2 linked regions of the Macaca mulatta genome follow. The protein of the gene in region 1 interacts with the protein of each later gene in a pairwise test. Links are inferred from orthologs where the notes say so. Each region holds a gene or a part of one and is shown in the gene's direction. Other genes may lie near its edges.

Evidence for each region.
Region 2: the proteins of NUP62 (region 1) and ISCU interact in binary tests that used the Homo sapiens proteins (3 or more experiments, as listed by UniProt). The two-hybrid records come from large-scale screens. The link is inferred for Macaca mulatta from reciprocal best matches to the Homo sapiens genes NUP62 and ISCU.

What each region holds. Positions count from the first base shown.
Region 1 is NC_133424.1:62,367,510-62,376,326, reverse strand, and holds the end of NUP62 (nuclear pore glycoprotein p62), read left to right. Parts: intron 1-2,426; 5' UTR 2,427-2,503; coding exon 2,504-4,069; 3' UTR 4,070-4,538; downstream 4,539-8,817. UniProt on the Homo sapiens protein: Essential component of the nuclear pore complex. The N-terminal is probably involved in nucleocytoplasmic transport.
Region 2 is NC_133416.1:115,689,971-115,700,526, forward strand, and holds ISCU (iron-sulfur cluster assembly enzyme ISCU), read left to right. Parts: upstream 1-1,064; 5' UTR 1,065-1,117; coding exon 1,118-1,231; intron 1,232-2,119; exon of another isoform or gene 2,120-2,239; intron 2,240-2,525; exon of another isoform or gene 2,526-2,583; coding exon of another isoform or gene 2,584-2,622; intron 2,623-2,740; coding exon 2,741-2,854; intron 2,855-3,747; coding exon 3,748-3,858; intron 3,859-5,663; coding exon 5,664-5,742; intron 5,743-6,130; coding exon of another isoform or gene 6,131-6,177; exon of another isoform or gene 6,178-6,192; intron 6,193-6,392; coding exon of another isoform or gene 6,393-6,445; exon of another isoform or gene 6,446-6,460; intron 6,461-7,304; coding exon 7,305-7,390; 3' UTR 7,391-7,802; downstream 7,803-10,556.

The sequences.
Region 1 (8,817 bases):
GTGGTGGCATGTGCCTGTAATCCCAGCTACTCAGAGGCTGAGGCAGGAGAATTGCTTGAACCCAGGAAGCGGAGGTTGCAGTGAGCCAAGATCGTGCCATTCCACTCCAGCCTGGGCAACGGAGCGAGACTCCCGTCTCAAAAAAAAAAAAAAAAAAAGGTGAACCGTTAAGCCAGACAAGTCCCCACAGAAGATTGTTTTCCTTGTAGTTTTTTCATAGTTGCAAAGAGCTTTTTATAAATGCTCTTCTTGGAAATTTTAGCTATAACTTATTAATAGCAAAAGCTTTTTTAAGCTGAGTTTTTGAGAACTGAGATGTGTAGGTGTAGCTGCTCCAATGCCTTTAGCTGCCAGTAACAACACACCGACTTGAGGTGGCTCAGCAGTGAGGACTTTTGTTCTGTCCCACAACGGGAGGAATGGATGCAGGCCGGGCTGGGCCCCAACAGTCCTGGGGGCTCAGGCACTTGCTGTGGCCTGTTGAAGAAGCCTTTCTCAGAATCCCCCAGGAGAGCTTTATGAAAATGCCAGGGCCAGCATCCTAGCCCTGGAGAGACTGGCTTCATGGAGCTGGCAGCCTTCGGTGTTTTAAATGCTCCAGTCAGTGCTGATGGGCGCCCATTGAGATCTGCTGGCTGGGACAAGGCAGAGCGCATGCAGCTGGCCCTGGGGTCATCTCCCCAGACTTGCTTGGCTGTGTGGAGGAGGAGGAGCAGATGAAACAAAAATTAGGGGCCTGTGGAAGGCAGAAGGGTGCAGTGGAAGGGGTGGGGGTAGTGAGGTAGGTTTCCTCTTCCTCAAGCTAGAAGGGGATTTCCTGAGGACAGACACCAAGCAATTTAAAAACTGGCCTGGAGAGAGGGAAGAGGAAACAGACGTCCTGGGTGTTTCTCTGGGCCAGGCACTTGGCTTCTCAGTCATGACTTTGTTCGTTCTGTTTGTTTGTTTGTTTTTTAGACAGGGCCTCCCTCTTTCCATTTCCGGCTTTTAGAGCTGCTTCTGCCTTCCCTGGCTCCTGGCTTTCTCCCGTCTTCAGGTTCCAAAGCGCATCACTCCAGTCTGCTCTTGCCACCACAAGCTTTCTTCCCTCTCCAGTCAGTCAAACCCATCTTCTAAGGATGCTTCTGATCATCTGGAGGGCTCTCACCTATAGTCCTAGCACTTTGGGAGGACAAAGAGGGAGGATCGCTTGAGCCCAGGAGTTCAAGACCAGGGCAACAGAGTGAAATCCCGTTCCTACGAAAAATAAAAAAGATTAGCCGGGCATGGTGGCATGTACCTGTAGTCCCAGCTACTTTGGGAGGCTGAGGTGGAAGGATCGCTTGGGCCCCGGAGCTTGAGGCTGCAGTGAGTTGTGATATGTCACTGCATTCCAGCTGGTATGACAGAGCAAAACCCTTTCCCAAAAGAAAAAAAACACCCCTATCCAGCACTTCCTCTCACCCTTTCCTCACCATCCCGCTGATAGATGGCACCACTTGGAGATTTTTCGGTTAGACGTCACCAACATCAAGTCAGTTTGGACTGAAGGGAAATGTTTGGCCCATGGGGCTTCTCGGGGGCTCTTTATCTGTTCCCCACCCCATCCATCTCTGGTGGGGCTCATGGTCTCCGGTGATGTCCCAGTGTCTGCAGGTGGTTGAGAAGGTGTCCAAGGGAGGCCCAGGTGCAATCCCCTGTACCACACTTAGAGGCGAAGGAGGCAGCTGCCTTCTGAGCATGGAGAAAATCCCAGGGGAGGCTCTGATTGCCTGGCTCAGGTCTCAGTTTATCCTCGAGCCAGTCACTGTGGCCAGGGGCATCTGTGCTCTGAGCACATGGGTTTCAGACCCTCCCCTGAGTTAGGAGGGGCACGTCCTCTCCTGCTCTTAGAGAGTACAGGTGTGGGCCTGGGGGACCTTCAGCAGCCCGGATCCTGCCATCCAGCCTGGGTTCCCTGCCCCATCTCTCTCTCTCACGTCCAGAGAGGCCCTCAGGGTGGCAAGAGCTGATCCGCTCACACCCCGCTAGAGTCAGCCAGGGAACCTTACTGGGTCCCACGCTGGGAGCAGGTCCTACAGCTGTTCTTCTGTGCCCTAGTCCCCCTTGTGGCAGTGCCTCAAATCTGATCTCCTCGGGCTGAAGTGGGTCCAAGGTCCTGTTCTCCCGCCTCATCCTCCAGAGTGGGAACTTTCCACTGTGCTGAACGTGGCCATGCACGTCCCTAGCACCCCGGCTCCTCGTACCTGACCCCTGGAGCGTGCATTTGTGCTTCTGGATCCTTCTCGATGTAGCAGAGTCTGGTTTAGGTTACACAGGACAAAGGGGGGTTGCTGCATGGTATCGTAATCCCATCCCACCACCCTCCAAACCAGCCGTGCCCAGTCATGCCACTGGGCTTGCCTTTCCAAAACTGCCATCTGACAGTGTCACTTCCTTTGCTTTAGAAATCTTCCCGAGGTCGCAGACGCCAGCGGATTTGCTTTGGGAGCCAGAGTAGCTGCCGCCACCAGAGTCCGGAGCCATGAGCGGGTTTAATTTTGGAGGCACTGGGGCCCCTACAGGTGGGTTCACATTTGGCACTGCAAAGACAGCGACAACCACACCTGCCACAGGGTTTTCTTTCTCCACCTCTGGCACTGGAGGGTTTAATTTTGGGGCTCCCTCCCAACCAACCACAAGTACCCCTTCCACCGGCCTGTTCTCACTCGCCACTCAGACTCCAGCCACACAGACAACAGGCTTCACTTTTGGAACAGCAACTCTTGCCTCGGGGGGAACTGGATTTTCTTTGGGGATCGGTGCTTCAAAGCTCAACTTGAGCAACACAGCTGCCACCCCAGCCATGGCAAACCCCAGTGGCTTTGGGCTGGGCAGCAGCAACCTCACTAATGCCATATCGAGCACTGTCACCTCCAGCCAGGGCACAGCACCCACTGGCTTTGTGTTTGGCCCCTCCACCACCTCTGTGGCTCCAGCCACCACATCTGGAGGCTTCTCATTCACTGGTGGAAGCACGGCCCAGCCCTCCGGTTTCAACATTGGCTCAGCGGGGAATTCAGCCCAGCCCACCGCACCTGCCACTCTGCCCTTTACTCCGGCCACGCCAGCAGCCACCACAGCAGGCGTTACGCAGCCAGCTGCTCCCACAGCCACAGCCACCACCACCGGTACTGGGCCCACCCTCTTTGCATCAATAGCAACCGCTCCAACCTCGTCTGCCACCACCGGACTCTCCCTCTGTACCCCTGCGACCACCGCGGGAGCCCCCGCTGCCGGGACACAGGGCTTCAGCTTAAAGGCACCTGGAGCAGCTTCGGGCGCCTCCACAGCAACATCCACCACTGCCACCGCCGCGGCCACCAGCAGCAGCAGCAGCACCACCGGCTTTGCCTTGAATTTAAAACCACTGGCGCCAGCTGGGATCCCCAGCAATACGGCAGCCGCTGTGACTGCTCCACCTGGCCCTGGTGCAGCTGCAGGGGCGGCCGCCAGCTCCGCCATGACCTACGCGCAGCTGGAGAGCCTGATCAACAAATGGAGCCTGGAGCTAGAGGACCAGGAGCGGCACTTCCTCCAGCAGGCCACCCAGGTCAACGCCTGGGACCGCACGCTGATCGAGAACGGGGAGAAGATCACCAGCCTGCACCGCGAGGTGGAGAAGGTGAAGCTGGACCAGAAGAGGCTGGACCAGGAGCTCGACTTCATCCTGTCCCAGCAGAAGGAGCTGGAAGACCTGCTGAGCCCGCTGGAGGAGTTGGTAAAGGAGCAGAGCGGAACCATCTACCTGCAGCACGCGGATGAGGAGCGCGAGAAAACCTACAAGCTGGCTGAGAACATCGACGCGCAGCTCAAGCGCATGGCCCAGGACCTCAAGGACATCATCGAGCACCTGAATACGTCCGGGGCCCCCGCCGACACCAGCGACCCGCTGCAGCAGATCTGCAAGATCCTCAACGCGCACATGGGCTCGCTGCAGTGGATCGACCAGAACTCGGCCCTGCTGCAGAGGAAGGTGGAGGAGGTGACCAAGGTGTGCGAGGGCCGGCGCAAGGAGCAGGAGCGCAGCTTCCGCATCACCTTCGACTGAGCGACAGCAGGGCCCTGGGAGTTCCATGTGGGGAACGCGCCCTGTTGTCTAGTTTGGGGTTGTAGCAAGATACATGTTTCTTTCTTTCACGTGACTGCCCTTGAGACAATTGCTGTGTGCTTTGCCTTTTTCCATGTAGGAAGTATTCTGAGCCCTCTGCCCAGGCAGCAGCCTCATGGGTGTGGCTTCTGTGGCTTTTATTTGAGTGTCTTTGGCCCCTTTCCAGCCATTGCGACTGCCCACCTCATCCTGGCTTGACCTGGTGATGGAGACGCAGTGGTGGTCTTGGTCCCAGCCAGGGTCGCGGGGACAGCCGCTCTCTCCAAAGCGTAGTCATAGGTGTCATGAAAAAATACCAAATGTAAGAGAACCTCCAAAGCCTGCAGGGCGCAGTGGCTCATGCCTGTAATCTCAGCAATTTGGGTGGCTGAGGCAGGCCGATCACTTGAGGTCAGGAGTTCAAGACCAGCCTGACCAACATGGTGAAACCCGTGTCTATTAAAAATACAAAAATTAGCCAGGTGTGGTGGGTGCCTGTGATCTCAGCTACTCGGGAGGCTGAGGCAGGAGAATCACTTGAACCTGGGAGGTGTTGCAGTGAGCCAGGATCACACCACTGCACTCCAGCCTGGCAACAGAGACTGTCTCAAAAAAAAAAAAAAGCGTCCCAGGAGACAGCAGCGTAAGTTTTGGAGTAGGAGGTGTGTGCCTGTGAAAGCTAACCACCAAGACAAAGCAGCACAGTGTGAATAGAACAAACAGTGGGATCGAGAATTGCACAGAAGACAGGTCAGCTGAGGGGCCTACACACAGAGGCCTGCCTTTTGCCCGGCCCAGGCTTACCCCCACCTCTGGGCCTCACCTCCTCCAGGAAGCCTTCCCAGCTACCCAAAGCTCAGGTGGCCTTCTTGCAGGTCCCCGTAGCACCCTGAGCCTGTACCTTGGGTAACATTTGCTATGCTGTCCTGTGCTAGCCGTTTGCGTCCGTCTCGCTGTTAGATTGTGAGCTCCCACGGGCAGAGACCCACTGTTGTTCCCCTGTATGTCCCCAGCCCAGTCCAACAAATGTGACTGGGACATTTATTAAATGAAAGAACAATGAAGCCCGGCATAACAACAGTCCACAGAAATAGCCACAGCTGCCAGTGGTGGCCACGGACATGGCTCTGAACTTCCTGGCACCAGAGTGACTCTAGTCAGTTACAGTAAAATCCACTGTGTGTGGAAGGCAGAAGCCAGCAGTTGTATCCCAAGTGTCTTTTGTATTTGTCTTTATCCTTTGCTGCATTCTCTGAAATACCTATTACTGTATGTTGCTTTTCTAAATAAATGTATTGTGAAACCAAAAAGGCTGCTAATATGGATAAATGTTAGGAGGAGAAACTTGAGTAAAAAGAGCAGCTTTCAGGAGACTCTGCAGGGGTGTCATTCACGTGAAACGCAGGGGCAAGCAGTGCTTGCATAGACACAGGAGCATGTGATGAAGCAGCTTTTGTTTGATGAGACGGAGTAATAGAAAATGCAAATTGTGGTTTGCTCCTGGAAGGGGTGGTGCCTGGTGGTAGAAGAGGAACACGCGAGTGAAGCCACCACGGGGAGTGGGCCCTTGGTGTTTGTGACTGTTACGTCATAGAATATACACAAATATGGCTGGGCGAGGTGGCTCACACCTGTAATCCCAGTACTTTGGGAGGCCGAGATAGGCGAACACTTGAGGTCAGGGATTCAAGACCAGCCTGGGCAACATGGTGAAACCCATCTCTACCAACTACAAAAAAGTTGGTTGTGCATGCTGGCACGCACCTGTGTCTCAGCTGCCTGGGAGGCTGAGGTGGGAGGATCATTTAAGCCCAGGTATTAGAGGCTGCAGTGAGCCGTGATCTGCCACTGCACTCCAGCCTGGGCGACAGAGCAAGACACTGTCTCAAAAAACACACGTTAAGTCATCTAGCCCCATCCCTAAGGCGCTAGTCCAGTGGCTACAGACAGCATGGGCAGCATTCCTTCCTGGCACCTGGGGCTAAAGACACAGGCCCCATGCTCTTCCTCTGCCCTGCAGCCTCGCTCTGTGGACTGGAATGGTCCTAAGCACTCAGATCTTCTGGGCTGTGGGAAGTGTACCCCTTCGGCCTCCCTCAACCTGTTCATGTCAATCTGTGGGCCACGCTTGGAAGATTTATGGCCCAGGTTCCAAAAGTCTGCCGAAGTCATCATCATGAGTCATTATTTCCTTGGACCGGCTGGGCACGGTGGCTTACACCTGTAATCCTAGCACTTTGGGAGGCCAAGGCTGGCAGAACACCTGAGGTCGGGGGTTCGAGACCAGCCTGACCAACATGGAGAAACCCCATCTCTACTAAAAATACAAACATTAGCTGGTGGCTAATTAGGTGGTGGGCGCCTGTAATCCCAACTACTCGGGAGGCTGAGGCAGGAGAACCGCTTGAACCCAGGAGGTGGAGGTTACAGTAAGCTGAGATCATGCCATTGCACTCCAGCCTAGATAAAGCGAAACTATGTCCCAAATGAATAAAATGTCCTTGGGCCATCTTGGGCTCTGAAGGACAGGAGTTGTGTCTGAGTAGAAGCCATGGGTGTGTGTGGTGGGCATGGTAAACCAGAGGAAGACCCCACAACCCCAGCTACTTCTCTCTGAAAGCTGTCACCTACAGCAGGGACCTCTGTGCAGTTCATAGGCCTTGACTCATGCTGCCCCCTCTGCTGGAAGGGAGGGCTTGAGTCCCCTTAGGAGGCAGGAAGCAGTTTGCATTTTACCTACATTTGTGCCTTCAGCATCTATTTTCAGAGCTGGTCCTGATCTGGTGCTGGAGGTACCAAAAAATGCCCACAAAGAGGTCGTTGGCAGGGTCCACACAATCATGACGAGAAAAATTTGAGCATATATTTCCAAAGTCTATATGTATATTTTCCTATTATTTTGCATACTATTTCCTATTTTGCATATTAAAGCTTAGCAATGCTTAATTGCTTTCTTACAGTTACATTTTTAAAATAAGAACAGATTCCAGCTTTGGGAGGCCGAGGCAGGCAGATCACCTGAGATCAGGAGTTTCAGACCAGCCTGGCCAACATGGTGAAACCCCGTCTCTTCTAAAAATACAAAAACTAGGGTCCGGGCATGGTGGCTCACGCCTGTAATCCCAGCACTGTGGGAGGCTGAAGTGGGTGGATCACAAGATCAGGAGACTGAGACCATCTTGGCTAACACAGTGAATATCTCTACTAAAAATATAAAAAAATTAGCTGGGTGTGGTGGCGGGCGCCTATAGTCCCAGCTACTCAGAGAGACTGAGGCAGGAGAAGGGCGTGAACCCGGGAGGCGGAGCTTGCAGTGAGCAGAGATGGTGCCACCGCACTCCAGCCTGGGCGACAGAGCAAGACTCCGTGTCAAAAACATAAAAAATAAATAACTAATACAAACATTAGCCAGACGTGGTGGCGGGTGCCTGTAATCCCAGCTCCTCACGAGGATCACTTGAACCTGGGAGGCGGAGGTTGCAGTGAGCCGAGATCACGTCATTGCACTCCAGCCTGGGCGACAAAAGTTACATTCCGTCTCAAAAAATACGAAAATTAAGTTCTACATTTTCTTCCCATACCCCAAGGGATCTTGAGCACCCCACTCTGAATAACACAAGTGATTCCATTAAATCAGGGGCTCTGCCCCAAAGCCATGTGGGAAATGGTCCCAACAGGCCTCCTGGGGGAGTCTAGGAGGGATCCCAAGATCGCAGCACCAGCAACTGACTGGGTGCCACCGCGGGTGATGGCTCCGTTGTAATTTCAATTTCCCTTTCCAGGAAGAAAATACACAGACGTGCTTCCTTGCCAGTCCCGACAAATGGCCTTTCCTTAAGTTCCTCATTAATTAATATGAAGACAACATATTTGGTGACTAAATTTGGAATCAGAGGCTTTTAAAGGTGAATCTCAGCTCTTACTGCTTTGCTTTTCCCTGTTTAGGGATAAGAGTGGCAAATGGGGCCGGGCGCGGTGGCTCAAGCCTGTAATCCCAGCACTTTGGGAGGCCGATACGGGCAGATCACAAGGTCAGGAGATCGACGCCATCCTGGTTAACACGGTGAAACCCCGTCTCTACTAAAAAATACAAAAAAACTAGCTGGGCGAGGTGGCGGGCGCTGTAGTCCCAGCTACTCAGGAGGCTGAGGCAGGAGAATGGCATGAACCCAGGAGGCGGAGCTTGCAGTGAGCAGAGATCGCGCCACTGCACTCCATCCTGGGTGACAGAGCGAGACTCCGTCTCAAAAAAAAAAAAGAGTGGCAAATGGGGGCTGGGTGTGGTGGCTCATGCCTGTATTCCCGGCATTTTGGGGAGTCCAAGAGGAGTAGATTACTTGGGCTCTGGAGTTTGAGACCAGCCTGGGCAACATGGCGAAACCTCGTCTCTACAAAAATACAAAAATTAGCCAGGCGTGGTGGCTCCTGCCTGTAGTTCCAGATACTTGGAGGCTGAGGTGGGAGAATCACATGAACCCGGGAGGCAGAGGTTGCAGTGAGCCGAGATCGTACCACTGCACTCTAGCCTGGGTAACAAAAGTGAGATTCTGTCTCAAAAAAAAAAAACCCAGCACATATAGTAGTATAATATGTGGTCAAACCATCAAATCATGAGGGAATGATGACTTTTGATTCTTTTTTAGTACAATCTAATCATCGATACAATTTATTTTTTAATAATGAATGGGCCGGGCGCGGTGGCTCAAGTC
Region 2 (10,556 bases), on another chromosome or scaffold:
GAATTTGGCGCCATCTTGAGAAGGTCAAAGTGATTCTTAGAAAAAATACCTTACTTATCGCCTAGCGTGACCTGGCGCTTGGGTTTAGTCTCCCCAGCAACTGCACCTCAAACGCAAAGAAAACTGCAGGTCCTCGGGGAAGGATCGATTTCACCATTCAAGAGAAAAATCCATTTCCCAAAGAAATTCTTCCCCTTTATGTAAACATCTGGTACCTAGGAGGCGTTAAATACACTTGAGTTTTCCGGTTTTATAAGCTCACATACTGCAAACCAACAGTAAATACGCATTTCTTTAGAAATTCTTAATTGCTAGGCACCGACATATAAATTGAATTTGCTGTTGTTTTAGAGAGAAAAATAGACATATACTCATTTTTTTTCAATCAGGACATGGTGTTCGTTTCCTTCTTAAGCTTCCCATTGTTGAGGTAGGCAAGTACTGGAGTGTGTCTCTATCTCTACCTTGCTCCCTCATTAGCAAGCTTAATAGGCAGGAATTACGTCTGTTTTGCTTTCTGTTGGATCCCCGGGTCTAGTAGAGTGCCTTGACACATAGTAGGTACTCGACACAGATGCTGGCTTCATGATGAAGGAATTGTCCTCGAATTAATACAAAAGGGAAGATTCAGACTTAGCAAGCCGGTACCATTTGTCTAGGGACACACAGCCAGGAAGGAACCGAACCAGGATTCTAACCCAGGACTACCCAAGTTCGAATTCTAATTGAACCTAAGCCCTAAGCGACCTTGGACGGAGTGACCAAACTGCCCTGAATCTCAGCTTCCTTAGCTGCAAAATAGGGTTAGGAAAAGTGGACTCAGTGGTCCTCTGCGCCGCATTCCCACACTGCAGAAGCCTGAGATCCTCTCTCAACCAGAATCCAGCACCCAGGACAAGCCCTCTAGCGACTTCAGACCTTCCCGCTCCCGACCCCGCCCGCCCCCGAGAGGCGTGGTCAAGGCGGGGCCACAGGGCGGAGGCTTGCACGGAACGGTAAGGCGCAGGCGCAAAGCCTCGGTGACGCCAGAGAGGCGCGCTCCCAGCTCGGCGCCGACTCGCAGACGCGCCCCGCCCCTCGGCATCGCTCTGGACTGGCGCAGGCGCAAGCCGGCAAGATGGCGGCAGCTGGAGCTGGCCGTCTGAGGCGGGCAGCGTCGGCTCTGCTGCTCCGGAGCCCCCGCCTGCCCGCCCGGGAGCTATCGGCCCCGGCCCGACTCTATCACAAGAAGGTAGGGACAAACGAGGGGACACGCGGAATGCCGACTCGGGGGAGGCCTGGGCTGGAGCGGCGGCCGCGGGGTTCTACGCAGCCAGGACTAGCTGTCGCCTCCCACGTCTTTCCCCTGACTCACTTTCCCTTGCTACGCAGTGAGGCTCACTGCAACTGATAAACAACAGTTACCGCTTATCGGGCTGCGACTTCCAGGGGGCCCCGCCGCTGGCCGCGACTTCGTGCGTCCCAACTTTAAATTCGCCAACAGCCCAGGAGGCAGGGTCCTGTTGGGACTTGTCTTTTACAGTCCATTGACAGACACACCCCCGGAGCGGGCTCCGGCTTCAGCCACGCTGCTGCCCTGGCCAGATGACCTTGCGCTAGTCACTGCGCCTCTCTGAACTTGTTTCCCCAGGTGTAAATGAGGACTCTCAGCTGTCTCTTACAAAGGATACTGTGCATGGAGTCCTGTCATGGTTCCTGGCACATAGGCCCCAGCACGAGGAGACCGTTTTTGTTACTGCTTTAGGAGTGCATAGGGGAGTCAGACTTGTAACCAACATGCGTAGTGTTTTTGTTTTGTTTTGGGGGTTTTTTTGGCGGGGAAGGAGGGATAGATGCATAGTTTGCAGCCCCTTGCTGTCTGGTGACGCAAAGTCCCCCAGACGTGAGACTGCCACTCTAGAAACAGAATAAATCAACGTGGCACAAAAAGTCCCTCCGTTAGATACTATCCTATAGGGGCCTTTACTTGGAGTCAAAATCCTTAGATGGGGAGGAAAAGGGGACTGGAAGATCGGGGTGCTTACTACTAACCAGTAACCACATTAAGGCCTTCTGTGTGCCAGTTCGAATAGATGTTGATTCTGATCTGGCCTCTGCCCTTTCTCCAAGGGCTTCTTCACTCCTCCCCCTCCCGGCGGTGTGTTTCGTTGAGGGTACACCCCGAGGAAACTTGGACTAGCAGCCTTTCAGCAGCCAGGGTGCGCTGCTGCACCAGGGTGATGACAGGCTCTGAAATACGGTAATGGCACTGTTTTTATTTTGAAAGACACATAAACGTACACATTCCATAGCATTGTTCTCTGTGTAACAGTCACCTTAAGGCTTCTAAAAGTTTTCCCTTCCTGGGCCATAGTTATTTTTAGAATTTTTAAATAGTAATCATCCTTTGAGGATAGTTTTTATTTGAAAATAACAAAACTGCTGTTTGAGCCCAAGTCTGGTGATGTAGGTGGGTAAAAGTCAAGTATTTTTGTAAAAACCCTATGGAATTAAGACATGATTTCACTGATATTTTTTTCTTCTAGGTGTCGCTAATCTGTGAAGTAGTTGTAGAGGAGACACAAAAGGAATTGGGGGTCACAAATGGTTCTCACTGACATGAGTGTAGACCTTTCTACTCAGGTGAAATTTGGTGATTGCCTGCCAGGTTCAAGATGCTGACTTCCAGGAGCTTGCCACCATACCAGAGACCAGCACCAATAGAGAGTGAACACGATTTATCTTAACCCTCTCATTTTAGGTTGTTGATCATTATGAAAATCCTAGAAACGTGGGGTCCCTTGACAAGACATCTAAAAATGTTGGAACTGGACTGGTGGGGGCTCCAGCATGTGGTGACGTAATGAAATTACAGGTATGGCTAGTCTTTAATAGTGATAACAATAATCCCTTTAAGTTTACAAAGCACTTGCACATACAGCATTTCACTCGGTCTCCATCTTTATTCCTGTGAGATGGGATGAGTCCATGTTAGACATGATTGGAACAGGGCCTCAATCGTAGCTCTCCTGCTAGGCTAGTGTACTATGCCGACTTTTTCCGAAATAGAAAAGTAATCTCATTTTTGTACTCACTGTATAAGTTTAAATTCCAACTTCAGCCAACGAAAGAGTTTTGTAAATTTTACTGATCAAAGGAAAATCCCAGTGAGCTAGCAGTCCCCAATGAGATAAGAAACACAGTAAATTAAACCTGTCCCCAGATTGGGAGCAACATGAAGATAGTGTCTAGTGCTTTGGGTAAACTGTTGTTGTAGCGCCAATCTGCTGCTTCATGGTGAGTGGGCAGCTTGCCAGAGATCTTCATACCTATCTTGGAATACAGAAACAAAACAGGAGGAAACCACTAAGTATAATCTGCTGCCCAAGAAAAAAGTATTAACCAGAGACCTTTATTGTGTACTCTCTCAGTGTTTAAGAGGCAGATTGCCCCAGCAGCTGTGAGCAGACTGCCTCAAATAGAAGTTCATAGCCAAAATGCAAGCCAGAGTCGCAAAACAAAATAATATTGGGGTGGAGGAACATATTTTTCAGCTGATCTTTGTCAGTTGGGCCTGGATAGTTGTCCCTGCATTTCACTTTTCATCACTGAGCTCTCTGAAACAAGGCAAAATCAGTAATTAATACCATCACTTAGTATGGAAAGCAAGCCCAAAGCCCTTGGGGAAGGCCCCAATGAAACTTCGTGAGTGCCAAGTTCCAGAGGGTGGTCCTAGGACTCACCACTTAACTCTTGTCTCTTTTCTAGATTCAAGTGGATGAAAAGGGGAAAATTGTGGATGCTAGGTTTAAAACATTTGGCTGTGGTTCTGCAATTGCCTCCAGCTCATTAGCCACTGAATGGGTGAAAGGAAAGACGGTAAGGTTGCTCACAAATCTGACAGAATGAAATTGCATTCACCCCAAGCCTGTCTCTTGACGGGTCTAATGGGTCAAAAACAACCATAACTTTTTTTTAATATTCTGAATTTTTAAAGTTTCTGCTATACAGATGTTGATTATATTAATTCTTCAAATTGGGAATTATAGATCATTCTAGATGATGTTTGGGTTTTTTTCTTGTTGATCATTTTGTTTGTTTGTTTGGGTGTTAATTACATACAAAAAAGATCCTCACCTGTCCCTCTAACAAAATAGAATTTAGAAGAAATCTTTGGCTTTCTCTAAGGTTACCAATACTCTTATAATTTGTCAAGTCAGAGAGTTGTTATATGGTAGTTATTTTCTTGCTTATTTCCTCTCATGTTTCAGGAAGGGTTCTAGGTGGCTTACAAGGATTGGTGAAATAAACTAGCGTGTGTTAAAAGAGGGATTAAAGAATCAAAAACACAGCAAGGGTAGGGGCAAAGTGAACAACGAAATCAGAACAGTGATCCAGGTGGCTGATCACAAGCCCTCTAAAGGCAGAGATAATAAAGAGCTAGAACTTCTCTTTCATCCCTTTCTCTCCGAAGTGTCTTTCCCTGGTAGCTGCAGAGGTCAAAGGTCCCAAAAGCAGTGAAGAGCTGGACTTTCTAAAATCCAGTTGCTGTCAGAACCTCTCAGAAAAGCCAACCATCATGGCACTCATCTTTGCTGCCCCAAGGGACCAGGTGCAGGGAGCTGAGTCATGGAGGAGCATGCTTGGGAGCTGGCCAGCTCCACGGCAGAGCGGTTTGCCAGGCCACGTGCCACCTGCTTCCTGTGGCTCACGGCCTTCTGGCTGGCAAGCTCCTGTGGGCCAGGAAGCTCAGACCTAACCTGCTCTGGCAGGAGGTAGCCCTGAAGTGGTTTGTCAGGAACTGTCCTCAGGTGAAGGGAGAAATGAGACAAGGCACTTATGCTCCCAGAACCTGGCTCTTAGGGGACTGTGAATTGTGATCAGAAAATGGGAGAGAGAACATTTCTTTAACCTTTAAACTGAGATCGCCTATCTGAGTTTCAGGAGCAGAACCTGAATCAGCCAAGAAGGGTTAGCAGAATTGGGAAATTGAACGATAGTCAGACATAGCAAAGGAGCCCAGCTGTTGGGAAATCTGGTTTTCTGTAAGGCGGTGGGGCACTGTTCCACATGGGCGAGGATCTGTTTGCCTCACATTATCCCCCCCGGGCTGTCAACCAGAACCCAGGCGTCCTCCTCAGTTGATCTGGAGGAGCTGCTCCTATAGGCAAAGGGTGACACCAGAGAGAGCGTTCAGCCCGACCCGGCTGTGCCACTGCCACTGTGCCACTTACCTGACATCTTCCCAACCTCTCTGATGCCATGTGGCACTTCTAGTCAAAAGGATTTATTCTAACATTTCGTATGAGGACATCAGAGAAGCTGATATTCACAAAACCAGTATCGGAAATCACTACCTTTTAAGGAAAAGATTCCTGACACAGGCCACAAGCAGATCCCTAAGAGACTTCTCACCGGTTCCACTCCTGGCTTAGAGAAGTGTCTGGGCGGTCTTTGCTTACCCAAGCCAGGCAGTGCAGCTGTGTATACTTCATGCTTGAGAATCCCAGCTGCAGCTTTGATAGAGTGGGAGTCATCCTGAGAAGACCCTCAACCCTTTGAGTTATTAAACAGAAATTATCCCCACCAACCCCGAGGGCCTTTTTGGCCTCCCTTTTTTATTGTCTGGCCCTCACAAGATAAAGCGTTGCTAAAACTGCCCGTCTTTCCATTATGCCTCTCAGGTGGAGGAAGCCTTGACTATCAAAAACACAGATATCGCCAAGGAGCTCTGCCTGCCTCCCGTGAAACTGCACTGCTCCAGTAAGTCTCTGCTCTCCATACCAGTCAGCTGGGACATTTGGCAGTAATTTCAACTTGCATTTGCAACAGTCCTTTTAGGTCATGGAGCCCATGTTTATAACCCTCAGAATTAGAGCTCATGAGTCTGTCCTTACAACCTGCAGAGGGTTAGAGCCCCCGTGGTCTCACATTCATCCCTAAGAAAATCATGCCAGAAGGAGATATGCACCAGCCATCATACTGAGCACTTGATGGGCATCATTTCTAAACCTCACAGATATCCTTGAGTGCACAGTCGATGTCATTACTTTCCTCTTATGGATGAAGGAGCTGAGGCTTGGGTTGAGACACCCACGTCACATGGCTAATAAGTGGGAGAGCCAGAATTTAAGCTCCAATCTTTGATTTCAGAATCTGCTGTTTCTAGCAGAGGAGAAAACTCAGCTTTCTCCATAATCCCGTTTCCTGTGTATTTCTTCACTTCCTGTCTGGATGCTATAACTGTCAGGGTCTGCATCTGTATATATGGCACAACTAAGCCCAGTTGTACAATGTCCCCCTCTCTGCTATCCTAAAAAAAAGCTCACATGCCTTAAGACTTGTACTTGGCTTTCCAGTTTGGTCTCTGTATTAAATCTAATGCTTTTTCCATCATTTCTTAACCTTCTCAGGGAAAGAAGGAATGAGAAACATTAGCCTTAATGCATCGATGGAGGTTTACTAACCAAATTAGTTAAAAATCAGCAGAGAGTCAGGCCTCTTGCCAGGGTAATACTCACAAGGAGAAGAGCCAGGTGCCGGGGCAGACACACTAACTCATTCTTCAGGAAGCCTGGTCAGACCCAAGTTCTTTCCACTTGATCTGGAATTTTAAGTACCCATAAAGAAAGGTCATCACTTGTAAACATTTTCACATGGTTTCAGGAAATCCCTAGCCCTTTTATTAGGCATTTTTAGGTACTGAAACCTTTAGCTGATGTTCTCTGCTATTTGCTTGCTTTCTGCTGTCATTCCAGCTCTCTTGGTTTTTATTTTCCCCATAGCCTCACTTTGAATATTGACTCCTAAATAAAAGTGGTCAAACTCTCGATCACTAGAGGGTGATGTGGCAAATGCCATCCCATCAACAGATTGACATGATCTTTTTTCCAAAGGTCATGTCAACTTTTTATCATGATATGATTTTGTCCAAAGCCAGACTTTGATGGGAGCAGGCAAGAACTAACATTTGCTATGTCCCTACTATGTGTTAGACATCTTCCGTAAGTCCCCACACTATCCTGGCAAGAAAAGCATGATTATCCCAGTTCTATAGAGTAGAAAGTAGGTTCGAAGAGGCTAAGGAACTAGCCTGGGATCACAGATATTTAAACCCTAGTCTGTCTCCAGGATTACCCACAGGAGTAACTCAGCTCAGTAAGTAGCTGCTGACCTGCCCGGCAACTCCTCACCCCAGCTTTCTGTCTTGGTTACCCCGTTAGTCCCCACCAGCACCACTTCCTCTAAGCTCTTAAAGATTCTATTCCCAAAACCACTTCTTTCGCATCTAGAAACTTAGGCTTCTTTCCTTCCGTTACCTGTAGTGCTGGCTGAAGATGCAATCAAGGCCGCCCTGGCTGATTACAAATTGAAACAAGAACCCAAAAAAGGAGAAGCAGAGAAGAAATGAGCCCTCCCTGGGAGAAGCCTCCAGCAGGCCACACCCCTGTTTCCCACCTGCCGTGCAATCACCTTAGATGTTCAGAAGCCGCTCCCTCTCCACTGAAGAGCTATGAGATACGCACAATACTTGCTGTTCACATTATGACTCTCATGCAAGCAAAATACACAGTTTCATTGTTCTGAATCCCGTGGTTTCTTTCAGTCCACTTTTATCGCCTTAACCTAGTTAATGTGTATTTTGAATTGTGTGTATGACCTCAGAACTGAAATTGATAAGTTGCAAATGTTGATAGCCCATGAAGTACGTAAGTATCTAATTTTACCTGAATTGATTTGGAGGGAAATTACCAGTAGAATGCCTTTGTCTGAATATTTGATAGAACTAATTGTTGTACATAAAACAGATCTGCATATATATAAAAAAATAATAATAAAACAATGGAAGATAATGGTGTTCTCTAATAAGCCTTGTCTCTTGGGCCCATCATTCACTCCAAAGTGGTGCCCAAAGCCCCTTGGGGTTCCCAGATGTTGGACCGCAATGACATACACAGCTCTCCAAGCAAACAACAGTAAAGGTCATGTACAAGATTTTTTCCAAAGACAAATACACATAATATTTTTTTGGAACAAGGATGAAAGGAGATGATTATCGCTTTTCATTGTTCTTTGTGAGATAATAGTTGACAGCTCGAAGTGAGTCTTGAAGATTCTTTTTGTAATTTCACTGGTTGCTCAAATCTAAGAAGCATTGGCTTAGCACCCTAAAGATACGTGAAGAGCACCTCGGGAATGAGTTTAAAATGCAGATTTCTAGGCCCAAGTTTCTGACTTCTGTCTGGGCAGGTAATTCCAGAGCCCCTGACTTTTAAGAACCACTTTAAGAACCAAGGTCAGGCCGGGCACGGTGGCTCAAGCCTGTAATCCCAGCACTTTGGGAGGCCGAGACGGGCGGATCACGAGGTCAGGAGATCGAGACCATCCTGGCTAACACGGTGAAACCCCGTCTCTACTAAAAAATACAAAAAACTAGCCGGGTGAGGTGGCGGGCGCCTGTAGTCCCAGCTACTCGGGAGGCTGAGGCAGGAGAATGGCGTAAACCTGGGAGGCGGAGCTTGCAGTGAGCTGAGATCCGGCCACTGCACCCCAGCCTGGGCGGCAGAGCAAGACCCCGTCTCAAAAAAAAAAAAAAAAAAAAAAAAAAGAACCAAGGTCATAGATGAGCCGAACTTTAGGGAAGAAACTTCTGAATGCTCTGTTCTGCATCGGTGTAGTATGTAACTGGTTCATTCTGAACTCTCTGTACCTGCATAGTACACCTAAGGTTGTTTAAAAAACATTCATCCAGCCGGGCGCGGTGGCTTACACCTGTAATCCCAGCACTTTGGGAGGCCGAGGCGGGTGGATCACGAGGTCAGGAGTTCAAGACCAGCCTGGCCAACATAGTGAAACCCTGTCTCTACTAAGAATACAAAAATGAGCCAGGCGTGGCGGCATGTGCCTGTAATCCCACTACTCGGGAGGCTGAGGCAGGAGAATCGCTTGACCTGGGAGGCAGAGGTAGCAGTGAGCCAAGATTGCACCAGTGCACTCCAGCCTGCAAGACAGAGCAAGACTCTCTCAAAAAAAAACCAGACAAGCATTCATCCCTGGCGTGGGCATAAGTCTAAGCACGGTTCCTCCTACCCTGATGTCTCCCTATTCTTAGCTACCTGTAGTCATGCAAATCTCAATAAAGGATGCCCTATCTTCTAGTGAAAATGGGTGATTGAAATATTGACTCCCATAGTCTCAAATGTTCAACTTCAAAAGTAAGATGTGTTTGTTTTTTCTGGTGGTGGTTTTTTGTTCAGGCATAGGCTGGCTGCCTCTTAAATATGCCTCCCTTACTTTTTTTGTTTTTTTTTTTGTTTTAATGCTCTGGGTTCTGGTGGAGGGCGCAGAACTTCAAAGACTGTTCCCTGTGTAGTCTGTGACGGCAGCCACAGACCAGGGACTTTATAGGAATCTCAAATTAGAACCCTGGGTAGAACCATGTAAAATTGTCGTGTGTGGCATGTTCTGCAATTTAATTCACAGTCCCTCTAGACTGAGCTTGTCTCTCCCTTGTTTATTACATGTGGCACCACCACAATTCCCCACCACTTTTCTTTGTGATTTTTTTTAATTTAAATGAGACATTTCTGTCCCAGTTAACGTCCTCAGAGTTGACATCAGGAGGAGCTTATAAACAACCGAAGCAATATTCCCAGAAGAGCCCAAGTCTCCAAACGTGGTTGTGCTGCTAAAACGAATGGATATTTTTTAAACTCACATTAAAGACACCCTTTCCCAAGACAAATCTAGTTAGAGCCACACGAGGGCATCATGTGCCCTTCAGTGAGCTCAAGTCTAGGGGTTTTGCAGCCTCCAAATAGGTCTTAGCATCTCTAAATAAACCCCTCGATGGAAAACCTCCACAGGTAAGTTACAACCGTCTGTTAAGCATCCGTGCCCTGTGCCAGGCCCTTACATTTGTAATCCTGTTAATTCTCATGACAGCCCCCTGCGGTGGGCATTGTTTCAGACAAGAATACTGACTCAAGAGGCCAACTGACCCTCAAGCCAGCTGGCTTGAGTTGAGTGACCCAAAGCCCATTCTTCTGCCTTACCCCTCCTGGCAGAACACACCAGGGATTCAAACTGCATATCTGAGGTTCACCTGTGCCTTGAACATTGAATGAAATAGCTGAACCAACACAGGTTGAGCCTGATGCATCCACTTGGCCAACTGGCTGCCAAGCACCATGGCCCTCACGCCAACCCTGGCTCCTACCAGGAGCCTAATTAAATTCTGAAGCCAAGTTAAAGCCAGTGCTCTGGAGGTGGGGCCTGGGCACTGGCATCACCTGATGGGCTGGGTGAGTTTATGGGTGGATGGATGAATGGATGGATGGGGAAGCAGAGGCTCCGAGAGGTGAAATGACTTGCCTCAAGGCACACAGCTAGGAAGTGGTAGAATCAAGCTCTGGCTGAGCTCTTCTGCTCACCTCCCACCCTCTCCTGGGTGCCACACTACAGCTATGACCACATCTCAGATGTAACCTTTCCTCAGCGTGATTCCTGGACCAGGGCTACCCGGGACCACATCCAAATGCACAGTTCTAGAACTTACATTAAGCATTGTCCTGTAA